2 linked regions of the Oryctolagus cuniculus genome follow. The main gene of each other region encodes a partner of the protein of the gene in region 2 in a complex. Links are inferred from orthologs where the notes say so. Each region holds a gene or a part of one and is shown on either strand. Other genes may lie near its edges. The genes, in order: HCRT and HCRTR2.

Region 1 (14,129 bases), on a different chromosome or scaffold from region 2:
GGCTCTGCCGCCTGGCGGACCGCAGTTTCAAGCCGGCTCCCCTCCTGCCAAGGGAGCTTTCTGTGGGGAAGAAGGACGTGGAGGTGAGTCGGGCCCGTGCTGAAAGGTTGTGTCCTTGGGCAAGGACTTCTGACTCTTCTTGCCTCCGCCCAGCCTTGCAGTTACCATGATTGCTGTCCCCGTGGCCTCCCGGGGGGCCAAGTCCTGGGCCTCCACGGGGCGTGATGTCCTTGAAGGAAAAGAGGAATAGCACGACCTCCCCCATCTCGTTCTTGATGGGCATCATGTCCAGGAGGCACCAAAAGGCCGAGCCTGCGGACGTGGAGAGAGGCAGGAGGCAGTGAGCATGCGGCTCTCTCTGATGCCCCCGGGGCGCCGGACACCGGCAGAGGGCTTGGCCGCAGTTTGGAACCCCAGAGTCTGTCGGCTGACTCCCTCATTGTCCAGAAGAGGGAGCCGAGGCCCAGAGAGGGTCGGGGATGACCTCAGTCCCACGGTCAGCCTGTGGCAGCGTGGGCACCAGCACCCAGGCTGCTGCTGTGCCCAGTGCACTCTGGGCAAGGACTGGTGTCTGGGCAGGGCTGCAGGGCCCCTCACCATCCTTGCGATAGAAGCAGATTTCAGCCCGGTGTTCCTGGTGGCCCTCCAGGGCCTTGTGCAGCCGCTGCAGGGCTGGCTCACTGGTCTCTGGGCCGTAGAGGAAGCGGCAGCTGCAGGTCTTCTGCATGACCTCGGTGCGGCCGTAGCCAGTGAGCTCACAGAAGCCGTCAGAGCAGTAGACGATGGGAAAGCCCCGGGGGCCCTGTGCGTTGGCCAGCAGGAAGTTGCTGTCTGTGGGAGGAAGTGGTCAAGATCAGGACGAGGCCAGGAGGGGAGCGAGCTTCCAGGTGGGCAGTGCCTCCCCCAGGTGGTGGCCAGAGGTCGGAGCCAGAAGCGCCCCAGGCTCTGCTGTGGCTCCTGACCCTCTTTGGGATATTCTGAAAGGAGAATCAGAGGAGATGACAAAGAGAAAGGACTCAGAGGTGGCCTAGAACCGAGGCAAGGACCACCACGGGGAATTGGAGGAGAAAACCAAACCCCGAGAGATCCTGAGGTCCATCTCCCGCCTTCCGGCCGGTGAGACCTAATTGTAGGAATCAGCATAGCATGGCAAGCAATGGGCTTGGGGCCAGCGTCGTGGCACAGTGGGCTAAGCCACTGCCTGCAACGCCAGCATCCCTTATGAGTACCGGTTCTAGTCCCGGCTGCTCCACTTCAGATGCTGCTCCACTTGGAAAGCAGCAGAGGATGGCTCAAGTGCTGCCACCCACATGGGAGACCCAGATGGAATTCCAGGCTCTGGACAGGCCTGGCCATCGTGGCCATTTGGGGAATGAACCAGTGGATGGAAGATCTCTCTTTCTCTCCCTCTCTCTTGTAAAATTGTCTTTCAAATAAATAACTTTTTTTTTCTTTTAAAAACAGGCTCCAAAACCCCTCTCCTGTGTGACCTTGGGCAAGTTAATTAGCCCTCTGGCCCTTCTCTGCCAAGTGCGTCATAAGACACCTTCCTGACACGGTTGTGGCAGGAGTGACATCAGCTAACTTGGGGACCACAAATCCTGGTGCCTAGGGAGTAGGACTCTGAGAAGGTGAGATGACTCCCTGACGTTTGCCCCATCACCCTCTTGTCTTACGGCAGAGTGAGCAGGGCAAAGATTCTGGCGATCTCACCTATTGTACTGATAGGAAACCACAAGACAAGAGAGTAGCCAAACTCACAAGTCTTCTTATTGCGGGGACGACACAGAGATGAGCAGTCCTCATCCTCTGCCTCCCAGGGAAGGCCCGCTTGTTCCCATTCCTTTAGCCATTTTCAGGGGATCTGTCCCCCAGGGCTCAGAGTTCAACAGGAGAAGGCACGGAGGGTGCAGCTCCAGCAACCCCCCAGCAGCAACAGAACCTGAGCTGGCTCCCTCCGGCTCCAGTGAGTGGGAGGCTGTGGGCCGCCCAGGGACAGTTGCAGCTGACTATGGGGGCCTCAGACACAACCAGTTCTGGGGCACTAGGAAGGATGACTGTCCGGGGGTGGGGCGGCTGATAGGGACAGACACTGAGGGTGCCTGGGAGGCTCTGAGCCCTGGGCACAGCCTCCTTCTCCCATCCCAGGGCCCGTCTCCCTGGTGATGGGTGCTATGGAAACGGGGGAGGTGTGTGTGGAGGGAGGGTGGAGAGGCGGGTAGAGCCAGGTTGGCTCGGTTTCCGCCCTCGGGTACCGCTCCTCCACCCTCCAGCTCCCGGCCAGGGCTCCCGAGGGGTCTGGGAGGGGATCTCTGCTCCAGAGTAGGACGAGGGAATGGCGGGAGAAGAGGCGGGGAAGGAGCGGTGCGGCTGTCCGAGGTGCTGAACCTGGGACCCAGCCCTGGTGGGATGGGGCGAGCGACCTTAATCCACACTAGGTCCTGCCGAAGCCTGGTCTTTGCTCCTTTTTGTTTGTTTGTTTGTTTGTTTTGTTTGCTTGAGGGACGTGCAGCTGGAGTCGTCTGGGAGCAGCTCCTAGAACGCCCAGCCTCTTCGTCCCACCCGTGCCTCGGCTACCCGCCCCCCCCCACGCCCCCGGCAAAGCTCGGCCCGGGAGTGGGTGGCTCCCGAGGCCCCTCCTCCGTCGCCGCACAAAGAGCGTCTTCTGCCTCGAGTCACACCCCCTCCCCGTGCCCCCACTCCGCGCTCTGGGCCCCCTCCTTCCCCCTCGCAGAGCGCTCTCGCCCTGTGCCTTAGCCACGGCTCCGGGCGGTCCTAGACCCTCAACTCCGTTCTCTCCGCTCGGCTCGCATCTCACCACATCCAGGGGACCCGGGCCAGCCCCGTGGAGACTTGGCCCCTCCAAGTCGAACCTCCAGCCCCGACCCGGTCCGCCCCACTCACGCGTGCCGTCAAAGCGGGTGGCGATGGTGTCCAGGAAGGTGTTTTGCGGGGCCAGCAACCCCTTCATGACCGGCATGGCCCCGGGTCGCGGGTCCTAGGCGCGGAGCCAGCGAGCCTTCAGCGCGGCCGGGCCGGAGGGGGCACGCTGCCGGCGGGGCCGCGGCGCCCCATGCGCCCGCCTGCCTGCTCCCCTCCCTCTCGCCGCCGCCGCCGCCTCTCTGCTCTGAACCCCGTGCTCTCGGCTCCGCTCCGCGTCGCCGCTGTTCCCCCCCCCTTCCCCCCTCCCCGCCTCCCCACGGGTCAGGTTCTTCCCCGCGGGCTGAGCCCGCGCCCGCCACGTGGCCCCGCACGGGGAGGGGCCACCGGCGACACCCGCACCCCCTCCCCGGCAGCCCTCCTCGCACAAGGGAGCGGCCCACGCGTGTCTCTCGGGGAGAGAATCTGAGACACGCCCACCGCAGGAGGAGGCCTCAATTGGTGGGGCGGGGCCTGAGTGGCAAGCACGCCCCCTTCCAGGTGGCCACGCCCCCACGCGTGGTTCCCGGGCAGCTCCCGAGGCTCCACCTCGTGGGTTTCCCCGCGCGCCGCCCACGCCTGGCGCTGGCGTCCGGCTTACAGTGCCGCCTGCTGGAGTTGGGATATTTTGCGGCACCCCCAGATCCCTGCGCTCGGAGGAGAAGCCAAGGGTCAAAAGGCTGGCTGTGCAGGTGGGGAACGGAGGACAGGAAGCTCGGAACCCCAGCTCCTGGAAAGCACCTCTAACTTGTGCCCTCTGCCTCACACCCTGGTGGATCCTGCCTCTGAGGCGCGTCGAGAAAGCAAGCCTTGCGTCCACCTGTTGCGTGTGACGGCTTCAGCATCCTCATCTATAAAATGGACCTAATAATTCTTTTTAAAGATTTATTTATTTATTTATTTGAACGAGTTACAGCAAGAGAGGGAGAGACAGAGATCCTCCATCCACTGGTCCACTCCCCAGAAGGCTGCAATGACCAGGGCTGGGCCAGGCTGAAGCCAGGAGCTTTCTCCAGGGCTCCCGTGTGGGTGCAGGGGCCCAAGCACTGGGGCCATCTTCCACGACTTTCCCAGGTGCATTAGCAGGGAGCTGGATCTGACGCCAGCTTTGCAGATGGTGGTTTACCCTGCTGTGCCGCAGCGTCAGCCCCTAATAACTCTAACCTGGTGCAGTTACTGCGGGCATTTAGGAGCATGACGCCTGTCGCCGGCATGACTGTCTTCTTGGTTCGCAGTCTGCCTCGCTGTTCCTGCTTCCTGCAGTCAGTCTTGCACCCCCCTCCTCCGCCACCGCCCCCCGGCCGCCTTGCAAGGGGAAGTGAGGCTGGAGGCAAGCTTGGGCCTGAGGAAGTTTCTAGGTGTGCAGAGTGAGGGTTTGCAAGTCAGCAAGAATGCACACATGGACTTTGATCCCTCCCAAGAGGAACCTGGGTAGGAGCAGACATGGGGCCTTCTCACCAGCTCAGCAGAAAATCATCGAGGCAGCCGATGATCCCTGAGACAAAACAAAAGCCAGCGAGAGTAGGAGCCCGCTGGGCAAGAGGGCAGGCAGAATGAATGTCCCTCCCCCTGCTCCCTGGGGGTCTGAGCTGGACATTGTCTGGGACTCCGGACTCCAACCAGGGCTGTGTCTTTCTGCCTCTCTTTCGGATGTTAGTAGTTTCCTAGCTGGCCTAACAAAGTTCCACACAGAGGGTGGGCATTTGAAACAACGGTGATCTTACAGCCTCCCAGTTCTGGAGCCTGAGAGTCCAGCCTTCATCAGAGAGCAGGCAGGGCTGCTTCCTGCTCAAGGCTGGGAGAGAGAATGTCTGTGCCCCACCGGGAGGGGGTTGCTGGCTGACTCTGGCCTCCCTCGGCTGGCAGATGCACCACCTGACTGTCACCCTCTTCGTAAGGGCACCTGCCTTCACGGGTTCCTCTCGTGTGGCCTCATCCTGAGTAACTGCACCTGCACAGACCCTATTGTCAAAAACGCCGGTGTTCTGCAGTGCTAGGAGCCAAGACTTCAGCATGAATTCAAGGGGAAGAAAGTCAAACCCAGCACAGGTGTTGCAGGAAAGCCTCACCCTCGCCCTGCTTAAGAACTTCTGTGCGTCCCAGCTACCTACAGAATAAAGGACGAAGCCTGATGAGTTGTCTTCGCCGCCCCTGCTGTGCGAACCTGACCGGCACCCTCCCCCACGCTGTAGCCCCCGCAGGCTGCAGCCCCTCCGGACAATGCCTTGTGGAAGCTCCTGTCCCGGTCTTCAGCAGGTGCCACTCGCACGCCTGGCAGTCCGGACTCCGCCCCTCCGTGCCGCCTGCCTCGCCCTCTGTCCCCTCTTGCGGGTCTGTCGGAAGACTTGTGGCGCCTGGGAGGCAGCGTCCGTCCCGCGTCCTCCCCACCGAGCACGCACCCCGGGACTTTGCAAGGGCCCTTGCCCTGTGAGCTCCCCAACCAAGAGTGTTTCAGACTCAACAGCGCGCAAGCTGGGCTGGAGCCCCCAGAGCCGGGCTTCTCCTGCCCCCTGGAGGGCTGGACGCGACCTCGTAGGAACGGAGACCAGCAACACACCAAGGGAGACTCGTCTTTATTGCAGTTTTTCCGGGGGAACACAGAGAGGGCAGAGGCGGAGAACGCGGGGTCTTCGCCGGGCTCAGAGCACAGGCCGTCCACCGGGCGCGATGGCCGTGGCGGCCGGGGCCAGGCAGCGGCCTCCCGGGCAAGGACGCGGCGCCGGCTCCGCGCCTGCGCGGCGGCCCATGGTCAGAATGCCGGCCGCGTGGTTGCCGCTGGCCTGCAGGAGGCGCTGCAGCCGGCCCTGGAGTCCCGGGGGCCCGGGCCGCCGCTTGCCCAGCGTGAGGATACCGGCGGCGTGGTTGCCCGCGCCGTGCAGCAGCTCGTAGAGGCGACAGGAACAGGTCTTCTGGCGACAGCAGTCGGGCAGGGGCTGAGCGGCCGCCCCGGGCGACAGCAGCGCGGGCGGCAGCAGCAGCAGCAGCAGGAGTGTCACAGCGGTCCAGGAGACCTGCAGAGGCAGGACGGGGCGCTGGGGGTCCTGCCGGCGTGCCCGAAGCCAGCCCCCGCGCCCAGGCCCTGCGCGCTGGCCCCGCGCCCCTCCTGTCCTGCGCTTTGTCGCGCAGTTTTCCTGCCTGGACCCGCCTGTCTGAAGGACTCTGCCGGGGGGAAAGGCTCGTCTCTGGTTCCTTCGCCTGCTCATTCTTCAAGACCCAGCAGAGCACCTCCTCTGGGAAGCCCTTGGAGATCCCGGGCCCCCCCCCCCCACCCGCAGAAGGAATCCCGCTTTCTGGGTACCCCCGTGAGAGCTCGCACCTGTGCACCTGAAACCAGCGTCTGAGTCGGGAAAAGCAGAGGCCCCGTTTGGTCCCCACCGTTCACCCTTCTCACAGCTGGCAAACACAGAACACCAAATTCCATGGCTTCGGACCATTTCCCCATCCAGCTGGCTCACCTATAAACTGGGTACTGAGTAACTCCTACTAGGTGGCCTGCTGGCAGGATGAAATGAGATGACAGATGGAAACAGCACCTGGCACACAGTAGGTGCTCAGTAAGCGTGGACCCAGGAGAACAGGGCATGACCCCGTGTGAACCAGGCAGGTCAGCTGCTGGGCGACTGCTGAGCCTCCTGTCTCAGAGCCCCCAGGAAAAAGAGACCCCCTTTGGCCTTCTCCAGCCCTCCGAGCGAGCACTCTTCTTGCCTCCCTATGTGATCAGTTCCCCTGGGTCCCTGGGTCGGTCTTTACCTTGGTGGAGGGAAGGTTCATGGTGTCTGGAGCTCAGGATGGGCAGCCAAGAAGAGAGGCGTCTGCAGTGGTCCAAACAGCAGGGAACCGCGCGGCTGCTGACTGTGACCCGCTTCCAAGGGCCCCGGGGTTTATAAGGCTCTGTGGTGTGGGGGGGAGTGATGGGCACTCGCAAGCACGCAGGGCTGCCAGACAAAGGCAGGTCTAAGATTAGCCTGCGGTCTCCAGGCTGGGCGCAAGGAATGGCCGCCCAGGCGTTGGAAGGCTGGGGATGGGTCACCGTGGCCCTGGTCCTCTCCTTGTCCATCCGCCTGCTCCCTGGAGATGGGGCAGTCTCCCGGCACTAATGAGGCCGCCTTGCACCCAGGAATCTGAGAGCACAAAAGAGGCCTTGGCTGGGGCGCAGGTCCCCACCGATGTGGTGGTGGGGGCAGCTGCTAATTAGGAGACCCACCGGGCTGGTGTGTGGGGGAGGGGCTCCAGAGCCTGCCTTCTTCGCGAAAAGGTTCCCTGCCCCGCCTTCCCCTGCCCCAGCTCTCTCCTTCCCTCTGCTCCCTGGCAAGCCTTGAAACCCACCCCTGGGGGCTGGGGGAGAAAAGGAAGCCAGACTCGGTTTCTACCAGAAGCTCACAGAAAGCCGCCACCTGCCCAGTGTTCTGGACGGAGGGCGTGGCCCCTCCCCACCTTCCACAGGGAGGGGGCCACTTCCAGGCCAAAGCTTCTCAGAGCACTGCTGGCTTTTATTTTTATTTTTATTTGATTATTCATTTGAAAGGCAGACACAGAGAGATCTTCAACCCACTGGTTCATTCCCCAAATGCCTGCAACAGCCAGGACAGGGCCAGGCCAAAGCCAGGGGCCTGGAACACCATCCAGGTCTCCCACACGGGTGGCAGGGACCCAGCCACTAGAGCCATCACCCACTGCCTCCCAGGGTGCACAGCGGCTGGAAGCTGGACTCCACCCCAGGCCCTCTGATCTGAGATGTGGGTGCCCCAAGCGGTGAGTTAACTGCTACACCAGCGCTGGCCCCCTGGGGACTATTTGTTGTGCTCCTGCTCAGTGCCAGGCCCTGCGTGGGCACCGGAACGAGAGATGCGTAGGCCATGGCCCAGTTTCCAAAGAGCTCCCAAGTGCAGGTGGGGATCCGGGCACACAGACAGCTCAGTGTGGAAAAGCTGACCAGAGCTCTTCGGCCTGCAGTGGGCAGGGGCTCCTCAGGAGAGCTGGGGGGAGAAGGCATTCCACACAAGGACAGTGTGTGGGGGACGTGGTCTCCGGGTGTGGGGAGGAGAGAGGGCCAGGGCCCAAGGGTCTTAGAGGCCACGCTGATTGCCCTAAACCTGTGGGCAATGGGGAGCTGCCGTGGGCGGATTTTATCAGGAAGGGGCTGAATGGGTACAGAGCAGGGCCCTGGATGTGGGGACAGGGAGCAGAGACGCAGTCTGCAGGCAGAAGCGGAGACAGAACAGGAGCTGTGGACCCTGCTGGCATGGACACTCGGCCCAGAAGGTCTCTGGGGTTTCTCCCTGCTTGGAACATGAGGACATCCCCTACAGGGAACGGAGCAGTGCTGAGGTGGGGGGGGGGGGCACGCTTGGGCTGGGCCGGCAGGAGGAGGCAACTATCTCCTGGGTGACCCAGGCTGCCGCACATCGTGGGGGAGCCCAGGGCTGAAAGGGGAATGGCCGGGCCAGGCTGCGGTGGGCACAGGGAGGGACCCCGACACAGTCGCCCCAAAGCAGACCCTGAGTCAAGAATCTGGGTGCCAGAGGTTTATTTGGAAGCACAATGGTGTGGGGGGGAGCTGCGTTAATGTGCATTAATGAGTGGGTCACGGCCATGGGCAGCTGAGGACCCCGAGAGACCGCATGGGGGCCTCAGGGACAGTGATGCGGAGGTCTGTCTGCATCAGTCCCTGTTCCTTACCGGCTGAGGGTCGCCCCTGGGGCCTTTGACACGCCCCCCCCCCCCCCCCAGCACTCATGAGCGTGGCCGAACACTTTTCTGATGGGAGAGACGGGGAGCTCCTCCACAGTGGCCTCCACGTGGTCACAGGCTGGGGTCTGCTCTACGCCCGGAGCCTGCACCCCAGCACTGGCCAAGGACCCCCATCTGGAGAGACCCGAGGGGAGGCCGGCAGCGGGCGGGCCCTGGCTCAGGACACCACCCTCCTGTGCAGAAACTGGGCCAGGTGCTTGTGTCTAAGGACCCGGGGCATCTCAGGGGGGGCGCGGAGGGAGGGGCAGGCTCGGAGGGCTGCCCGCAGGGCTCTGAAGGCCCCCGTTCCCACCAGGTGGACCTGGGCGGGGCCCACGCTGCCCCGGAACCGCAGGGACTTGTAGTGGGGGGAGACTTCCTGGAGGCAGTGATCCAGCTGGGAACAGAGGGGCCTGTGTGAGGCGGCGGGGGGCGGTGAATGTGGCCCGGGCGCGCGCAGGACTCGTGCGTGTGCATGTGTGCGTGTGTGTGTGCCTGTGTGTGGGACTCGACCTCTCCTCCCCGAACCCCAGGGCAAGCTCTGCCAGGCATCGTGCGCATGCGCAGAACGAAGCCCCCCCCCCCCCCCGACTCCCACGGTCCGACCCAGTTCTGGCTTTTTACCTTGGCCCGATTTTCCTCGGACAGGTTCCTCAGTCCCCTGAGCTCCACGAACACCTCATAGTGGGGTGCAGAGCCCTCGGAGGAGTCTGTGGACAACAACCCCCCGACACACACTTGCTGTGAGTGAGGCGACTTCCTGGGCCAGGGCCCTCAGCCCACCTGCCCCTCCCAACGCTGAGCTCCGTGGTGGGGGGTGGGGTGAATGGAGCGGAGCCTGGAGCTCAGTCCCAAATAGGGCAGCGCTCAGGACAGCACACAGGCAGGCACTGCAGCAGGAGGCACGAAAATTAGACCTCAGGAGGGACCTGTGTCCCAGGCAGCCTTGGAGGCAGGGTCTCCTCCCCCGGAGGGTGGGTGTGGGCTGGGGGGTCGCTAACCCAAGGACTGAGCGGGAGCCCATGGAGATGCATACCCAGAATGCTGCTCTCCACACAGGCGTGGTCCACGAGCTTGGCCCCCTGCCATTGCCCCACGGCCCGGCCCAGGGCCTCCTGGAACACGTCCTCCCTGATATCCTCTCCTCGCACACTCAGGGCCTGGCCCAGCCTGGGCAGGAGGAAGGGGGAGGCAGTGGAACCAGGGCCCCAGGACGGCCCCCCGGCCCCCCAGGGGCGGCACCTACCTGCAGACGAACCTGACGACGGGACACTGATTGTAGGCCCCGACCACCCGTACCACGTCACCCAGGCGGCACCTGGTGGGGGCAGGTGGGGGTGAGCTCGTGCCCGCGGCCTCCCGCAGGGACCCATAGGTAGCAGGGGCTGGGCAGGTGGCCACCTGGTGAGGCTGGCGTGGTCAGTCAGCACCAGCTCGTACTCTTTGTCCTCCTGGGCCTCAGCCAGCAGGATGGTGCCAGCGGCCTCGTCCTGGGCTCCTTCCTTGACTGGGAGCAGCTCAACGAAGGGGGCTCCCGGGGGCAGGAGGTAGAGCCCGGGGGGCTGCTCTGGCCAGAGGTTCAGGCCCAGCACCCCTGCGGGGAGCAAAGCAGCCAACTCCAGACCACACCCTGCGCCTCTGGGAGCCCGAACCTCCGGCCGCCCTTCCAGCCCCAGGCTCAGCCCGCTGCCCCTCGGCCCGGCTGGGAAGGGGCTGTGAGCGCGGGGGTGTATCGGCCCTGCTGTGAGCCTCAGTTTCTCCATTTGTAAAAGGAGACTGGGGGTTGGGAGGATTCAGCAGGGCGGGCAGTGGTCCTGGCCTTCCACCCCTGCCCCACCCCCATTCCCGCCCCCCTGCCTGGGCACCCTGCTGACCTCCAGAGGCCGCATAGGCAGGAGAGAAGAAGGTGAGCCCCTGACACCACAGCGCCCTGAGGGCAGCCACGGCCTCCGCCTGGCCTCCTGCGTCCAGCGTCACCACCACCTGCAGCCGTGGCCACAGCCGGAGGGCCAGTCCCCGGGGGCCCTGCTCCAGCGCGGCGCGCAGCTCGCCTGCCCGGCCAGGCAGCGGGGCGCCCGCCTTCCCGGCAGCTGTGGCCGCAGCCAGCTCTTCGCCGTTGGCCTCCAGGCCCAAGAAGACGTCCAGGAGTTCGGTTGCCGTCCCGGCCTCCAGCGCCATCAGCCCTGGGGACCTCAGGGCCGCCAGCAGCAGGGCCTTGGGGTCCGCCACTCCGGGGGTGCTGAGCAGGCCCAAGGCGCGCCCAGGCCAGGGGAAGGGACTGGGCCACGGCGATGTGGGGGTCACACGGGCTGTGCTTCCCGGAGCCAGCACTCCTGGGAAGGCCTTGTTCAGAGCCCCCAGACCCAGCAGCGTGGCCTGGGGGAGAGAAGAGAGACTGTGGGGCCGGCCTCAGAGCCACCCCCTGTGTCCTCCCTTTTGGGGGGGCCTCTGGGCTGGGGCTCTGGTCAGCCGGGTTTACCTGCAGCGAGGTCCCGCCACAGTAAGGGCCTTGGGGAGGGGACAGGAGCGGCCCCCCACATTCTTCCTGGGCCTGGCTGGCCTTGGTCAGAGGGAGAAGATTCCGGAAGGTGCTCACATCTGCAGCCCCAAAGACACCAGAAACTGCTCAAGAAGCCTGTTTCCCAAGAGCGGCAGGTGAGACTGGGGAGACCCCTGCGGGCAAAACCGGGAGCAGCCCTGGCAGTGGGGAGGGGACTCCGGCCAGGTGGGGAAAGTTCTAATTGAAGCCGCGAGCCAGGTCTGGGCCTGGCGGGGAGTCCGGGTCAGGGCAGTGGGGCTGGGAGAAAGGGGCTCCCAGGTCTGAGAGCTGACTGTCCTGCACACTTTCTCTTGGGGAGCCCTCCCCAGACCCCGGAAACACACCTGTGCTCCCCCTGAGGGGGCCGCGGGGACCCTGGTCTCCCTGCAGACACCACGCCAGGGCCTGCTGCTGGCTCTGGCCCACGTGCAGTGTGCTCTGGTCCAGTTTCCACTGCTGCCAGGCAGCTGCCCAGCCCAGGACGCCCCTGGCCACATGGTGCTGGAGGCCAGCAAGCCAGGACAGCCTGGCATCCCAGGAGCCCGGCTGCCCCAGCGTGGCCGGTGGCGGCCGCAGCAGCAGCAGCAGCAGCAGCAGGGACAGGGGCAGCAGGAGGAAAAGCAGGGGCCCCGGCAGCATCTCCGAGCAGTTCCTGGGGGGAGGAGGCAGCCTGAGCGGGATGGGGGGCTGCCTACACTCCCCTCCCCCGCCCCCGCTGCCACCTTGCTCTACTGTGCACAGGGAGGCCCCGGAGAAGCGAAGACCTTGTCGGGCAGGCGAGGCAGGGGAGAGACCACTGAGGCTTTGGAGGCCCACTGACCCGAGTTCAGATCCTGCCTCTGCCGCTCGCTAGCCGGGCAAACGAGCCGGTCGCTCTGAGTTCCGTGTCCTCATCTGTAAAACAGGAGCCCTAATTCCTCTCCCAGGAGGTACAGAAACTGCCTCGCACAGGCCTGGCACAAAGTGGCCGCTGGGCGAGTGACATTGCACTGACTGACCGCGTTCCCTCGGGACCCTCCCTGTCTATCCTGGCTCTGAGTCCCTCCTGAGCCCTGGGCAGTGGGTTTGTCCCGCCTGCACCTGTCACTGCCCACTTCTGCCTACGCTTAGTTCCCAGGGCCCCTCAGAGCCTCCGAGCTCAGGGCTCAGGACACATCCGGCCAGAAAGATGGAGCCGGGCTGGGCCCTGATGGGGAAATCCGGCCTCCCCCGCCCGAGGGAGGAGCTATGGGGGGTGCTCTTAAAGGGGCAGGTCACCCAGGAGTTCGGTGCTGGCCCAGCCAGCCAGATGGCGGAGTTGGGGCCAGATCCTCAAACCCAGGCAGGTGGAGAAGAGGCTAGTGCGGAAGAGCGCCCTGACATGGCTGGAGCCAGGTGTGGGCTGTCCTCCCTCCCAGAGCAGGTGCGAGCTTGAGAACTGGAAAAAACCAAACTCTGCGAACCTACGAACCCTCGAACCCTCGCAACAAAGGAGGTAGCAGAAAGAAACCCCTTATTGAATAGTGTTAAACCAGAGGGCGGGGCCGACGTTTGGCGCGGCGGCGGAGGGCCAGCTGGGACACCTGCGCCCCATGTCTGAATGCCTGAGTTTGAGTCCCTGCCCTGCTTCTGATTCAGCTTCCTGCTAGTGGACACCTTAGAGCCAGCAGTCCTGGATCGGGTTCCAGGCTCCTGGCTTTAGCCTGACCCAGCCCTGGCTGTTGCAGGCATTTGGGGAGACAGCCCGTGGGGAGGGGAGGGCCAAGGTCTCTGTCTCTTTGCCTTTCAGGTAAATAACAAGTAATTAATTAAAAACAAACAAACGTCCTGTCTGCTCAGCAGCAGAGGCTGTGCCCAGCCTGACAGCACAGTCTTTCCAGCCTTCTCCGAGGAAGACCCCTGGCGGGGAGCGCCTCTGCCGGTGCCAGGTGGGGCCCCAGTCTGATCGCACTGAGTCCTGAAACCTTGGGAGGATTTTTATCTAATTCACTCTTTGTCCAGGAGAAGAGCTGGGAGGAAGAGACGCAGAACTGGAGCCCGGTCCCTTTAAGCCCCAATCTGAATACAGACTGCACATACCACCTGGCCTGCCGGGTGTATTCTCTCCCTTAAACCTGGCGACCTTGCTTTCTGCAGCCTGATGAGTGGGCGTGCTCTCTCAGATTCTGTGTGGACAGGAGCCCGTCCGTTCTGATGAATGCCCTACGCCGTGAAACGCTGCTACTTTGCCTCTGTCTCCCGTGTGAATTTTCTTGCACTCATTTCCACTCACAAGGAGACACCTGTGTTAGTCTAGTGGCTCTCTCTGTGGGAACAGGTGGTTCTGCAGCTGGGAGCAGGGCAGCCCCCAGAGCCAGGCGCCCACCCCCACCCCAGCCAGGAACTGCAGAGCTGCGCTGTAGGGTGAGAGTCGCTGCCCCCGACCCCCCTGGGCTGCCCTCTCCTTGCGCTCTTGACTTAGGCACCGGAAACGGGAGGCCTCCCATCCCCCCTCACAACCTCCCCACCTCCCCACCTCTCTTCTCTTCCCAGCTGCTGCTGCTTTTTAAACTTGAAAGGAGAAAGAGACAGAGAGACAGCTCCCATCCGCTGGTTCCCTCCCCAGATCCCACTGAAACCTGGAGCCAGAAACTCCCTTTGGGTCTCTCATGTGGGTGGCAGGGACCCAACCACCGGAGCCTCCCAGGGTCTGCATTAGCAGGAAGCCGGAGCCAGAGCTGAGCCTCAGAGCCAGGCGCTCCAGTCTGAAACGCAGGCTCTCAAGCGCGTCCTGACGGCGCTCCCATATGCCGCTTGGAAAGTGATTTTAAGTGCATTTTTCCTAAGCTTTTGAAGCACCCTGTATGATGCTGTTATGTAAATGTGCATGTAAGCTTTCATGGGTACAAGCTTTCATTTTCCTTGTGTAGATATCTCGGAGTGGAATGGCCAGGTCATAAAGTCACTCTGTTTAACCCTTGAA
Region 2 (15,174 bases):
GTGTGGAGGTTTAAGCCCCCATTTGTAGTGCCAGCATCCCATATGGGCACCAGTTTGAGTCACAGCTGTTCTACTTCTGATTCAGCTCCCTGTTAATGTGCCTGAGAAAGCAGCAGAAGCTCAAGTGTTTGGAACCCTGTACCTATGTGGGACATTCAGAAGAAGCTTCTGGCCCCTGGCTTTGGCCTGGCCCAGCCCTGGCCATTGTGGCCATCTAAGAAGTGAACCAGTAGATAGAAGACTTCTCTCTCTGCCTCTGTCTCTCCTTCTCTGTAATTCCACCTTTCAAATAATAAATAAATCTAAAATGAAAACAGAAATTAAAACAAAAATGAGGATGTCTGAACCCTGAATCTTGTGTAAAATTGATTCTGCAACCCATACTGTATGAGAAATGAGCAAGAAACAAACTTGTGGTGCTAACCTAATGAGAATTTGAGAGTGTGTTTGGTACTGTGCCATAGAGTAGCTATTCAAACCATAACAGTTTTTATGTGGTTCATTCTACTGGAAAAGATTATGATGATAGAAAGAGCTCTGGGTATTCTAAGACTTGTAGGATAACTTCTAAATTAAAACATTGGAATTATTATTTTGTTTTATTGTGGACAGGATTCTGGATCTAGTTAATGAGAATCCTTCCTCAGATTTTTGACAAAATCATGTATCAAAGACTGCATAGCTGAACACCAGACAAAGGTCATCACATCCCCCATAGGAAACTGACAAGTTATTCCAATGTTGAAACACAACCCTTTGATATTTCTGTGTGCCTGTGATTTTTTTCCACAGTGACTTTAAATCATTTCTGATAGATGAATCTTTTTCACTAAATAAGATCTACCTCAGAAGTTTGTAGTGAAGGATAAATGAGACAAAAATGTAAGAATATCTTCTGAAGAGTAGAACACTATAAAGTATTAAACATTATTCTTGTTAAATACAAAATGTAAATTACTGATAGACCCAGAAATAAGAATCCCTAAATATTTTTGAAGAATTAAGTAAAGGAGCTTTTATTTTTAGGGATTTGCTATTTCAAATAGTAATCTACTACATTTATGTGGTTAAAAGATCATTTCTCATGGAGAACAAAGGTGGCATGAAAAAATTTAATACTCAGAATCAGTTATTCAAATACTGGCCATATATGACATGTTTTAAATCCAATAACATCTCAAAGTATTCCATACTCAGAGCATAAGGTCATTTCATGTCTTGTGTGATGCCTCTTTGAACATAAATAAGAGCATTCTGCTCTAGGAACATAATATGAGGACTGATTTATTCATTCAAACAATGAAACTTATGATTTGTTTAAATATACATTAATTATCCTATTAAGTGATGACTGTATTTGAATATAGGAAAAAAACTCATTATGTGAAGTCTTAAGTGTTTAGGCTGTCAGTCTTACACTGTGATTAAAGATACCACTCAATAACAAAACAACCTTTGGACACAATTATCTGGCATTTTTTTTTTCTATTGAGTCACCCTCCCCCCCTTACAGGCAAAAGCATTTTTGGCAGCACCTATTTTACCTTGAAATTTTCTGTTGTAAAGTAACCCTAGCCTGACCTTGATTAGCTTATCAAATGAGCTCATCCTCAAAGCTAAAGTGCTATAGTGTATGAGAGAAATAGCATGGCATCATGCCAGAACAACTCTGTAAATTGTCTAGAGGGCACATCAAAGCATCACTTTCTTCCCTCTTTCTTCTGTACTTCTCCAGCCCAAGTTAGAAACTAGGGAAAGAGGCAGTATGAAGTAATGACAAGTGTGGAGTGTGCAGTTGGTAAAATATGTACTTGAAATTTAGTGCTGCTGCTTACTGATGACTAAACTGTGGAACAAGTTAAAACTGCTCTTTGAATTTCATTTATCTCATTTGTAAAATAAAGTATTTAACTACTCATCATTAGGAGGTTGATGTTGTAAGGCATCAATAAATACACAAAAGTGGAGGCTGCCATATATAAGACCTGGCATACAATCTGAAATACTCTTCATTTTCCTTTGAAGTGAGAAGAGGGACTGGAGTCAAATACACTTAGCTTCATCTATTGCATGTCTGGTTGACTCATACTAGTAAGCCATTATGTAACAATGTTAGTATCTGTAAGAGTATAGGAGTTGTCAGAATACAAAAGGAAATGGGGCCAGCATTGTGGCATAGAAGGTTAAACTGTCACCTGCACTGCCAGCATCCCATATGGGTGCCAGTTTAAGTCCCATCTGCTCCACTTTTGATCCTGCTTCCTGCTTATGCACCTGGGAAAGTAGGGGAGCATGGCACAAGTGCTTGGGTCCCTGTACCAACAAGGGAGACCTGAAAGAAGCTCCTGGCTCCTGGCTTCAGCCAAGCCCAACTCCAGCCATTGCAGCCATTTGGGGAGTGAACTAACAGATGGAAGACCTCTCTCTGTCTCTCCTTCTCTCTCCATAACTCTACCTTTCAATTACATAAAAAATCATTAAGAAAAAATAATAATACAATAGGAAGAAAAATAGAAGGATCTTCTTCTTGTAGTAAAGTAACATCAGCAATTGATGTTCCTGATATTTTAGGAGCTGAGTGATAATTCAGGGATTTATGAATGTGAATGTAGCTACCATACAGGATAGTTTTTAAATATAATCTAAAATACAAGATAATGAAAATCCATTTAAATACATATCATAAAATTCAATATATGTATTTTTACTAAAGTCAAGAAAAATGTAAACTAGAGCATTGTATCTGTATTTGAGTTTTAGTTTTGACTTCCATTTACAAAAATGTGTAAGAGTTATTTATTTTATTTATTTGAGAGGCAGAGAGAGGGAAAGACATATGCATATGTAGAGAATGAACTCCTATTCACTAGGTCACTCACCAAATACCTGCAATAGCAAGAATAGGACCAGACTGAAACCAAGAGCTCAGAACTTAGTGCAGATCTCCCAAGTGGCAAAGACTCAGCTACTTGAACCACCATGTTCTATCTCCTATGATGTCCATTAGTAGGAAGCTGGAATACAAAACTGGGCTGCAACTCAATACAGGATGCAAGCATCTGAAGCCATGTCTTAAAAATTAGACCAAATGCATGTCCTTCAATTTGACCTCTTTTGACAAATTTTTCCAAATTGTTTTTTTTCTATGTACTTTTTCAAGTATAAGAAGAAATCCATTGTCATTAAATTATGCATAGCACATGTTACTCTCATAATTGTCTGTCCAGGATAAATGTTGCTCTGTTATCTATGATATAGCCATTTATAGAGTTATCATTTGAATTCTGCTCAAGTCAAAGATATAACTTATCTTTACCAACTAAACCCAAATGACTATGGTTTAGCAAAAATGCAGAGGCATCAGTTTAATTCCCATTAAAATAAGTACTTTTTATTAAAATATTCTGCAACTAAAAACACACAACAGGTTTAAAACCCAATAGCTAATATTGTCTTTTACACTCACTATTTCTGACTTCTATTGAGTCTTTGCAGAGATGAGTAATATATTCTCTCTAATTTCTTTCTGTTTCCTGTATAGCAAATGATGGGTTCATGGACACCCACAGATCTCAAATGAGCATTAGGAGATATGGATAAGTAATGCCTCTTATGCTTAGGAGTAGCAGACACTCAGAAGTCTGCCACTTCCACTACTAGAATATAAGATTAAGTCTGTAGGAAGCAACTCTTTAATAGATATTCCCTCCACCCCATCTAACTACTTGACCTTAACTCATATGGGGTAAATTCCTTAATGCCTTAAGTGCTTCATCTGAGTTAAATTAACAACATTAAAAATAATAGACTGACGAATAACAACTCAAAAATCAAGTGAATGAGACCTACTAAAGGCAAGTTTAACCTGGATGAAAGAAAATTATCCCAACAGTTAGGAATAGCTTTCAGAAAGGGGAAGACAATGTACAGTAATCACTTTGAAGGGGATGAGTGGGTGGAGCTGACCTGGCAAAGGAGAGTAAGCTGTCAATTCCATATTACTCACACCTTTCAGTAAAACAATCAATTTTAACAAAAGCTACAGCAGAGGCCATAAAGAGCTTAAAAGGTACTGAGGCCATGGAGGTATAAAATGACTACAAACCACATTAGGGAATATTTCAGTAGTGAGAGTCAAGGATTAATAACTGCCATTAATTATTATATAGTATATGTCAAGTATGTGTTCCTGCATCTCTACATAGAATATGTGTGTATTACATCATGATATAATTTCTACAAGGCAGGCATTATCAACTTAGTATGCAATTTAAAAAAAGGAGACATTATTAGTTCAATAACTTGCTAGTAGTCACACAAGAAGCAAGAAGAATAGATGGATTCATACCTACACATATTGTATCTTTGGATGCAGACACAAGAGAGTCATTAAACTGATGTTTTTCCCCAGGTATTTAATGCTTGAGCTGACTGGAAACACATCTCTCCCTCCAATTTACATTTCAGAAATCATGAGTAAAAATTACATCAAATATATTCCTTTGTATTTCCCCAAAAATCCTCCTCACACTTACACACTGACTTTAAGAACATAATATTACTCAAAATATACTAGTTGATTAAAGAGACACATCTAGTGGCTATAGCACAAGATATATTTGGGAATACATCATGTAATGTATACATATATGTATGTATATGTGGTATATGTGGCATCATTTTGAAGAAACTGGAAAAATTACTCCTTCCAAAAAGATGCTATTACCATGATCCAAATCCACAATTAGTCATTCATGTGTCTTTTTACAATGCAAATATTCATGAAATACCATTTACAGTGGTTGTGCCTGTTGTGAATGGCCTTGTAATTTTTTTCCAGGAAACTGTTTCATGTCTCTGAAAGGATCATCTTATAATGGAGAAAGGTTATAATGAGAAAGACTGTGGAGAAAAAAAAAAGGTGAGGACGATCAAGACTTTTTCATTCTTCACAGAGCATATCCTGTTCCATCAGTTTATAAAAGGCACTGTAGAAGAAATTATTTCTCACTGATAGCATTATTTTTGTAAGTTCAACAAGGTTGAGCTTTTCCAAGTAGTCAGTTACATGAAAGCAAACAGTGAATGGACCTGATGGGTCAGTGATTACATATGCTGCCTGCACTGTGGTACTTCACCTCCATAACGAAGGTTGTCTCTTTATCTTTCATGAATAATGTGAGTTCTTGTCTTTGCATTCTATTTGTAAAATCACCAAAGGGGGGCAAAAAAGCAAGTCTCAGTCTAATCCATTTTGCAAATTTGACAAGAACATCAAAGAGCAAGAAGTAGTCTGAGTAATGACACTGCTCATTCATTTAAATGTCAAACTTAAACCTCATCAACTTTCAGGGAATATTTTAGTAAAGAATGAATTTCAGTCTATCCAGAGAGGATTTCTGTGTTATTCAGTCCTGAGGAAAACAGTTGTCAGTATCTTGAGAGCAGAGTGCCTTGAGTTAATCTTTCATTTTGAACTGAATGGAATTGGCCATTTCAGCACTTGAGGCTATGGACAGCAATCTCTTTTTGAAGTAAAGTAAGTGGCCTTACTGTAGAGGTGTTTCCTTCTGGAATCTGAAACTCCCCAGGCTAGTGATCATGTATTACTAAACTATGCAATTAGTCTATGAGGACTATGCATCAGAAGGCCTATGCAAAGCAAAAATTAAATAACAGCAAAGAAAAGCACATTTTACCACAAAGAGTAAGCCTGAAATAAAATTAGGGAGAGGAAATAGTTATAATTTATAACTATTCCTGCAAAACAAATGTCTTTTTTAACTGTAAAAGTTTCCCCTGTAGGTGGGTTTTTGGTCATGAGAATCACAAGTGCTATTAACCTATCATGGTACTTTATTGACATAAATGGACTTAGATGCAGACAACAGGAAATGCATCCAACAGGCTTGCAGATAATCAGAAACAGATAATCCATTCTCCATATGATTTCTATCTCCAGAGTGTAATATCAATGGAGAATTGTGGATTTGAGGCAAAAGAAATGAAATTGAATTTCAATTATGTCTGTTAATTAGTCATTGATTTGTCTAAGCCTTGTTTGTACTATTGAGTATGGTCTATTTTGAATTCTAAATGACAGAATGTTTGGCAAGGGGTCTGGAATACAGTAAGTTGTCAATATATGTTCAATTTTGGTTATTCGTGTAACAGTAAGTATGGCATAATACAGTGAAATGTTGATATGCTGGTACTCGTATGTCATATAAATGTAAACTGAAGAAAAGATGGCAAGAAGGAGGAAAGCAGGAATGGCCTTGCTATCAGCAGACTCATTTATCCTGGTAACAAGAGACTTAGTCATGTATATTTTCACTTTCATCCACTTTGTCTATATCCCAAGAAGATTCTCTTTATGTTTACTCTAAACACTTAACAGCAACACTGACAACAAATCCTGAAAACAATATAGAAAGAGCAAGCTAAATGTCTCAGAGGTTTCCTACCTCATCTCATAATATCCTACCAACTCACTGGAGAATTCCCCTTTGTGACATACTATGACTGCATGCCTCTTAGCCAGACCAACACACTTAGGAGAAAAAGCAAAAATCAGGTTATTGCTGAAAACCTGATAAGTTCCTTATCATCCTCTGTAACAGCTGAAAACCCTTTCCTTTTTCTTTTTTTTATAACAAATTATTTGCTTCTGACTTCAAAGCCTTGGAACCTAATTCACCTCTCTCACCTTCTCTTTTTAGAACTGAAAATAAAGAGCACCTTCCCCTGGCCCCCTCCATCTCCTCCTGACATTTTCAACAGACACTTCCTCCACACTGCCCTCTGCATCTGAAATGCCTCCCGGCATCCCACTCTCCATTCATCAAGGTACAGGCTCCTTCCATTCACAATTCCTTCTTAGTCCTCCCTCCCTTCCAAAGGTCCTTTTCTTGCACTAGATTCTTCTGGTTCCCTAATACACTCCAACATCTAAGTCACCTTATCATCACCCAATCCCCTTCCCAACACTCAGAAATTCACGGTAGGGAGGGGTCGAGGAAACCTGTGTTTGCATGCGGACCTAGCAGGGACATTCACATTAAGCCCAGCATTAAGCTTTTAGTGTCATCTTTTGGTGGGGGGTGGGAGGGAGTGAGGACGGAGCAGTTAACACAATAGATATTTCCTGACACTGGCAACAGGCAGGCTCTGGAAAACATTGGCTGAACGGATGAATGAATGAATGAATGAATGGGTGGGTGGGTGGACGGACGGAGGGCTGAGTGAGATTTCCGAGGTACTTTTCTTGGATGCTCCTCCTTCTCCTTGCAGCCGGCAAGCTTCTTGTTTAATTCAGGCTCAGGCTCCGGAGTGAGTGCACTTCCGTGCTTTGCCTGATCTCAGCTCCTGCCCCTTCATTACCTCTTCCTGACAGGGAGCCCAAACCTTGCCAAAGGGCAGGCTACCTAGCTCGCAAGTGCTTTGTGACTTCAACAGTCAAGACAGCTTGCACTCTGCAAGCCCTGCCTCTCCTCAGATCCCCTCCACAACATTCAGCCGCCTTACACAAAAGGATGACTGATTCCCCAACACTCCACCAAATCCACCTGCAGATCCCTGTGGTTTGCCCCTTCTCCCCGCGCTTGTAACCTAGGTGCTCGGAAAAGAAACGCGGTTTCCCTCTGCTGCCTGCAGAAAGAGGAATAACCATGCCATGGTCTGTCCTGGTGCATGAAACAAGAAAACTTTTGTTTTATTTTTGCATTAGAAAACCTCACGAGGGGGAGAGAAAGAGAGGGAGAGCTAGGGAGAGCGCTACGACCTCTTTGTTTGCATCCCAGAGGGTGGGAGGGGTCTTCAGAGCCTTCCGGAGCAGAGGTGACAGCCCTTTTGGAGGGCTGCCCGGGAGGAAACTCACCCAGGACGTTTCCAATAAGAGCCACGATGAATACGATGATGTACCCTGCGATCAGGACCCACTCATATTCTTTCGGGTGTAGGTATTCTCTCCACAGGTACCGCAGGAATTCCTCATCGTCATAGTCGGTGGGGTTTAAAAACGGCTCTTGAGTTTCGTTCAGCTCTGAGGCAGATGACCAGTTGCGACGAGGCGGGGAGTCCTCCAATTTGGTGCCGGACATCACGGGCTCGAGTCCGGTTCAGTTCAGTGCTGCAAGCTCCTTTTCGCCTGCCCCATGAGCACTGGTGATTTGCGGTGGGAAAGGCTGCGCGGAGAGGCGAGCAGGGGCTCCGGAGCAGAAAATGACGTGAAAAGTTACTGAGCCAATGCCTCCGGAGTCTTCTGCCGGGCAACTTCTGCGGCGGCTTTGCTGTCTTTGCAGGCGGTTTTGCATAGGAAAGAGAGGCAGCTGAGCAACTGGGGAACGGACAGTGGAGGCTGCAGCAATGACACCGGGAGGAGCAGGCTACCTCGGGCTCAGCTCGAGCTCAACTACTCCTCATTCCAACACTGAGTCCTCAGCCCACAGACTCCTCCTGCGGATGCTAGGGCAAAGAAAAAAATATTATTTTGAACTCTTTCCCTGTGGGTTAAATCTCCTTTCCTACATTTTTCAAGAGCGGTTTGTGTAAAGCACACAGAGTCATCTGTAGGTATGTGGACATCACAAGATGGTCAACACAGGGTTAATACAGGATGTATTGTGGTTTTTCCTAATGAGAATGTAAAAGTAATGAACCACTGTGTTCCTTAAGCAGGACAGTGCCGAAGTCATTTCAGCAAATATTTTAACATTTAACATTTGCCAAATTAGCACTTGCTCAATCTTTAAGATATCTCCTTTCCTCCTCAAAACTGGGAAATGACAATGTTTTTTTTGACTGAAGGGTATATTTAGCTGGAATTTGTATTTGCAACACTAAATGTCATATGAAATATAGCAACAAATCCTTGAAGGACACCAAGGGTCATAAATGTAATCATAGTTAATGTTGCCAAGCAGAAGATCCCACCAATATACTAAACGCTATTAAAACAGATTCTCAGTAGCATGTAGTGAGCAAGCAGCAGTGGGTACTCTCTGGTGAATACATACCTCACTGGTCTCTCTTCTCATTGATTCAGGGCTGATGTCACCTGATATTGATATTTTTCTCTAAGAATGAGGATGCTGGGATTTATTTGTCAACATGTGAATTCATGATCCTTCCATTCATGCAACGCTGTTGAATATTTCATTGATTAGTTACAGTCTGGGACGTGGGAGGGACCCTGGAATCATTAAGCCAGAACTTCTACCTCCTGATAACCTTGCTGATATATCTCTGTTGATTTTGGATGTAACCACCACAATTCACTACTTCTACCATCAAGAGATTTGCCTTTCTAAGACTTTTACTTTCAATTCCCAGGGTGTAACTTGATATTACCCAGAATAAATCCTCTGCTTGACAATCCTTCACACTTGGTAAAGTACACCCCCCCATTCCATCTCCCCCATTCTCCATGTTTCCCCTCCATTTCCCCACTGTTTTTCAGACAACACAATTCCATGCCTATATTTGAGTGCTCTTTCTTTGGACAATAGTATCTTGAAAAATATTCAATTGAGAGGAAATGCAGTATCTGGTCTGGGTCTTGTAAGGAAAAATAGACATTATTTTTTGGATGTAACCCATATTTTATTTAATTTTTTTCCAAAAGTTAAAAGGCACCTATAGTTTACATTGAGGTTTTACTCAACTGCCTCACCTTCATCACCAGTCACAATCTTTTATAATTGTTTTGTACTGTACATTTCATAAAATTTTTTCACATGCATTATTTTAAAAGCCCCAAGGGGTTGGGTATTATTAGTCCTGTTTTATAGATGAGGAAACTGTTACCAAAAACATTGAATGATCTACCAAAAATCAAATTATTAATCACTGCATGTCCCCATCTAGTGCTGTTATTCTACAAATGTCTTCTTGATCCATAACCAGTGCTTCTATTATTCTACAGAGGTCACTTTTTTTATAAAAATGAAGATGTTGTTGGAATTTTCCAAGTATGCCAACTACATTGCTTTAAAAGAAAGATTTATTTTATTTATTTGAAAAGCAGAGTTACAGAGAGAGGGAGACACAGAGAGAGACATCTTCGATCCACTGGTTCACTCCCCAAATGACCACAATGGCCAGGGCTGGGCCAAACCAAGGCCAGAAGCCAGAGCTTCTTTACAGGCTCCAACATGAGTGCAGGTGCCCAAGTACTTGGGCCATTTTCTGCTGCTTTCGCAGGTGCATTAGCAGGCGCATTAGGAGCTGGACTGGAAGCACAGTATCTGAGACACAAACTGGCAACCAAATGGGATGCCAGCGTTGCATGCAACTGCTTAACCCACTATGCCATAACACTGGCCCCCTAAATTTCTTTTCAACAGAAGTACTTAAATAAGCATTTTATTGTTTCACCAGTCACTGAGTTATTCATTTCCATTCTTAGTGACATAAGTTAAACATGCTGCTTTCATATATTTTAATTTTTAGTACAGTTAGAAAACAGATGAACTGATAAATACATAAGGAAAGCACCAGGAAGGGATCAATAATATCACGAAAATCAGAGTAAAGTGCTGGTGAGTGGAGAATCCCAAAGACTATACTAGAACTAAGTGGTCCAAAGGGCCTCTGAAGAGGTGACATGTAAGCAGGAGATTCAAATGACTTATGGATATATTAATTCAATTTTGTTAATTTGAGGTTTAAATAGATCTTCTTAAATGCTAATGCTATTATCCAAAGCATTTGCCATTCCTCCAGACCTGTTGTCAGCAGTAAATTTGACAAGCAGACCTTTTGTGTTTTCTTTCAAGATCACTGATACAAATCTGCTAACATTTTGCTATCGTATGTTTTCCACTGCGTTATTACTATTTGTATTTTCCTCTTCCATGGACAACTCTTTTCAAAGTGGGACAGGTTGCTACAACTTTAGTTCAGATCTATAGTCATTAATGCCTGTAAATTCCTTGTCACTGACAATCTATAAACATGGACCCAGTCTGCTCTTCCCTAAGGAATCAGTGCTTTTAGATTTCGTTGTGTGGAACATTGACCTGTCTACCTTTCCATCTTCTCTTTAAATCTTCTATCTGAAATTAATCATCACTGCTTATTGAAGTTATAAAGAGAAATGAAAATCTTTTCAAGATTTTATTCTGATATCTGCTTTATGTTATGACAAGCTTGGATTTATCTTGATTCTACAAATATTCCATTTCCTCCTATCCATGGTTTATCAACTGCTTTATTTTAAATATGGGTTACTCCAATGTCATGCAAAAATTCCACTCTAATCCTCAAATTATTATTTGTTTTCCTTTTTTGCAACTACATTAGAGACGGCAAATATTGCAGCACTCACTTTTGATATTATCTCCTTCCTTAGATCTTTTAGGATATCTGAAAAGAATTTATATTTCTTAGGTATTATTATTTTCTTTAATTCACAATATTTCTGCTAGATGTACAGGAAAGAAGCCAAACTAATATTACAAAACATTAAAGAAAGTTTGAAATTTTCCCTGTATGTCCTCTTTAGGTACTTTAAAGAATTAAATAAACTGATATCTTTTCTCTCCCTGTTAATGGTTGTAGTTGAGTTTTGTTCAAAGATTGCAGAATGGTATGGGCTATCCTAGATTTTATTTTTTTTATTCCTGATGAGAGGTATCTTTTTTGAAGGTCTATAATAATTTTCTAGATCCATTTCAATAAGATTCCTGAGTATCTACTATGTGCTCAGGATTGTAACTAGAATTTGGAGCCAGAAAGATCAAAAAAACTATTGTAGCCTAAATGATCCGTAAGTTGACTGGTGAATTAGAAATATGATTATTGCATAACTGAGTTTCCAAGGTAGAGAGATTCACAAAATGTCATGAGAGTTTGGAAGTATGCTTCATTTAGCCTGAAGGGAATCAGAATGAGTAGCTTCCCCACAGGGAGAGTCATTGTGGGATGAACATGTGAAGAAGTGGGAGATTACAAAGTGGTTAAAGAGGAAAGGTTGCAGGCAGAGGTAATAAGTACTTTGTGGAAAATTTGCGGCAGGAGAAAACACAGAATATAAGGGCACAAGCAAGATGAAGTGAGGCAAAATCAGGCTTTCCGAGCAATTGTTGGCAATAATGTGGAGAACAGATTAAAGAAGGGTGAGACAGAAGGTAGAGGGACTAGGTAGGAGGGCTGTAACATGATCCCACTCTCATCTGGTTGTGGGGATTACTTGACTGAGTACCTCTTGTTATTGTTAATAAAATGTAAGGGTTCAGATAGACATCAACCAAAGTGCTGCATGACTATGTTTGAAGTTTATTTCTCTATATTTTTAACTACTGTCAATTTTTTTAACTTGAAAAATAGTATCTATACATAATTATGGGGTACATTGTCATATTTCAGTACATACGTACAGTATATAGTGACAAAATAAGTAAACTAGCATATCCCTTATTTTAAACATTTATCATTTCTTTCTTGTGAAAATGTTCAAAATCCTATCTTTTAGGAGAAGAAACACAGTGACAGTAACTTATTGCTCACCTAAGTCACCCAATGGTGCTAAACACTAGAACCTACTCTTATCTTACTGTAATTTTGTACCTCATAACTGGCCTCTCCCTAGACTGCCTTCTCTTCAACCCTCCCAGTCTTTGCTAACAACTGTTCTACTCTCTATTTCAGTGTGATCATATTTTGAAGAAAAAAACAAGTGATATTCCACTGTTAACTTCCTAGTGTTTGCAAAGAACTTGCTTTCCACGTGTCTTCCAGTTTTAGATGAAGAAATTATGACACAGACAGATTAAGTAACTTTGTCAGAGTCACACAGAAATGACAGAATCTTTATGTACCACTGTCAAGGCCCACTTGCAAAAATATGCTTGCTGTCATTGTCCTATTCTGTTTCCAATATGATAAACTATTTCATTGATTATTGGTAATAATAACAAATCATGAGTGTTTACAAACACACTTATAAAATCATGTTAGCTTTGTGTATTTTTTAAAAATTCTATTAAATTTTAAATAGTGTTGAATTTGTAGAATTGTGGGGAAAATTGTTATTTCCTTCAAGATGATCTCACACCCTTAATAGTAAGTCAGTCTCTCATGTTCCCCACAATTGTACATTTAAGGGAATAAATGCTGTTCAATTTATCTCTTCTTTCAAAGTTAGCATAACATTTTACTTGTAGCTATTGGTCAATCACTATTTGATGATAAGGCCTGAATTCAATTGAAAGGAGGAATTCTTTTTCCAAAAGGGAGGAGAGAACTTCCACTTTGACCATGGCCTTGTCTATAATCAGAGTCAGTGAACTCAGGGGGCTTCCATAGCCTTGGCAGCTCATGACAAGAGCCTAGGGTGATTACTGAGGCCATAAACAAGAGTGTCAACTGTTAAGTCAACATCAGGAGTCACTGTGCACTTACTCCTCATGTAGGATCTTTGTCCTTAGTGTGCTTTACATTGAGATTTAATGCTATAACTAGTACTCAAACAGTATTTTTCACTTTGTGTTTCTATGGGGGTGCAAACTGTTGAAATCTTTACTTAATATATGCTAAACTGATCTTCAGTATATAAAGAGAATCGAAAATGAATCTTGATGTGAATGGAAGGGGAGAGGGAGTGGGAAAGGGGAGGGTTGCGGGTGGGAGGGACGTTATGGGGAGGAAGCCATTGTAATCCATAAGCTGTACTTTGGAAATTTATATTCATTAAATAAAAGTTAAAACACACACACACACACAAAGACACTTACAAAACAATCAAAAAGAAAGGTGAATATTTTGTGAAAAATTATACATCTGTGTCACTTTTGCTTCCATAACATTAAAAAAAAAAAAAAAAACCTTCTTGGAAATACTACCACATTGCTGCCCTTTACTAAACCTTTAGCCTTAAAAAGAATTTAGTGAACTTTTTGTTGGATGCACCATTCTATTAATTCATTTCCTCTTCCCATAATCTAAAAATGTTTTTATTTTTTCATAATGGCCATTGGGTAAAATGGGAAAATAATAATAGACAGTAGAAAGAGAGTTTCAATGTAATCCTGGAGTGCAGACTGTACCTTTTGAGGTGCTTGCCTGCCTGAACCACCCTTCTCAGAGAACCATTCATTATCACCAGGTGCTTTACAGAGTAGGATCTTGGGATAAAAAGTATGAATACAATAGTTACATTTTAAACATCAATCCTTAGACCACATGATTTTTTTTGCTATGACCCAGGTCTTGGGTTCATGGAAATATTTCTTTGTTCTTTGAATATATGGCGCTTTTCCTTGAGCTCATTTCACTGTGTGTCTCTCTCCCTTGAAAATTATAAAATTTGATGAGTTCAAGGAGGTTAATCTAGGTTAGCATTAGGTTTGTCGAGTAACAATAAAAATGCATGTTCAGATTTTCTATAGTAAAAAAAAGATCCATTTTATTGTGTCAGTGATTTTTTATTCTATTTTATCAAATATGCATGGTATACTGTCTACATAGTTAAAATGAGGAAATATTGGGCTATTGAATTCTAATCTGAAAGAGCAATGTGGCCGGCACCGCGGCTCACTAGGCTAATGCTCCACCTAGCGGCACCGGCACACCGGGTTCTAGTCCCGGTCAGGGCGCCGGATTCTGTCCCGGTTGCCCCCCTTCCAGGCCAGCTCTCTGCTGTGGCCCGGGAGTGCAGTGGAGGATGGCCCAAGTGCTTGAGTCCTGCACCCCATGGGAGACCAGGATAGGCACCTGGCTCCTGCCATCCGTGGCGGCCATTGGAGGGTGAACCAATGGCAAAGGAAGACCTTTCTCTCTGTCTCTCTCTCTCTCACTGTCCACTCTGCTGTCAAAAAAAAAAAAAAACAGCAATGTGGATGCTTGGCTCAGCAGTTAGTATGCCCCTTGGGATGCCAGCATCCCATGTGTGAGTGCCTGAGTTCCACACCTTGTCTTAGCTCCTGATTCCACATTCCTATAAAAGCAGACCTTGGGAGTCAAAAGTGATGACTCAAATAGTTGGATCCCTGCCACTCACCTGGGATATCTTGACTGAGATCCCAGTTCCCACCTTTGGCAGGGATAAATGCTGGCTGTTGTGGGCATTTGAAGTAGTAAAACAGCATATGGAAGTTCTCTCTCTCTCGCTCTCAAATAAGTGAATTAAAAAATCAGCTTAAATAAATTAAAATGTGACAAGTGTTTCTCAAG

What was found.
Region 1: the proteins of HCRTR2 (region 2) and HCRT are in contact, whole or in part, in a cryo-EM structure (PDB 7L1U), measured with the Homo sapiens proteins. The link is inferred for Oryctolagus cuniculus from reciprocal best matches to the Homo sapiens genes HCRTR2 and HCRT. Residues at the interface, in NP_001371201.1 of Homo sapiens: Thr111, Val114, Trp120, Pro131, Gln134, Thr135, Val138, Gln187, Val209, Cys210, Asp211, Phe227, Thr231, Ile320, Ser321, Asn324, Lys327, Arg328, Phe333, Ala334, Thr336, Arg339, Val342, Tyr343, Phe346, His350, Tyr354; in NP_001515.1 of Homo sapiens: Asn89, His90, Ala91, Ala92, Gly93, Ile94, Leu95, Thr96, Met97.

What each region holds. Positions count from the first base shown.
Region 1 is NC_091448.1:20,615,497-20,629,625, reverse strand, and holds HCRT (hypocretin neuropeptide precursor), read right to left. Parts: upstream 6,703-14,129; 5' UTR 6,691-6,702; coding exon 6,670-6,690; intron 5,931-6,669; coding exon 5,559-5,930; 3' UTR 5,478-5,558; downstream 1-5,477. Other genes in the region: voltage-gated delayed rectifier potassium channel KCNH4, read right to left, coding at 1-60, 166-312, 598-831, 2,905-2,980; GHDC (GH3 domain-containing protein), read right to left, coding at 6,703-6,854, 6,950-7,040, 9,274-9,359, 9,686-9,819, 9,896-9,967, 10,051-10,243, 10,524-11,025, 11,129-11,247 and 1 more. UniProt on the Homo sapiens protein: Neuropeptides that play a significant role in the regulation of food intake and sleep-wakefulness, possibly by coordinating the complex behavioral and physiologic responses of these complementary homeostatic functions.
Region 2 is NC_091436.1:114,347,970-114,363,143, forward strand, and holds the start of HCRTR2 (orexin receptor type 2), read right to left. Parts: upstream 8,273-15,174; 5' UTR 8,103-8,272; coding exon 7,880-8,102; intron 1-7,879. UniProt on the Homo sapiens protein: Nonselective, high-affinity receptor for both orexin-A and orexin-B neuropeptides. Triggers an increase in cytoplasmic Ca(2+) levels in response to orexin-A binding.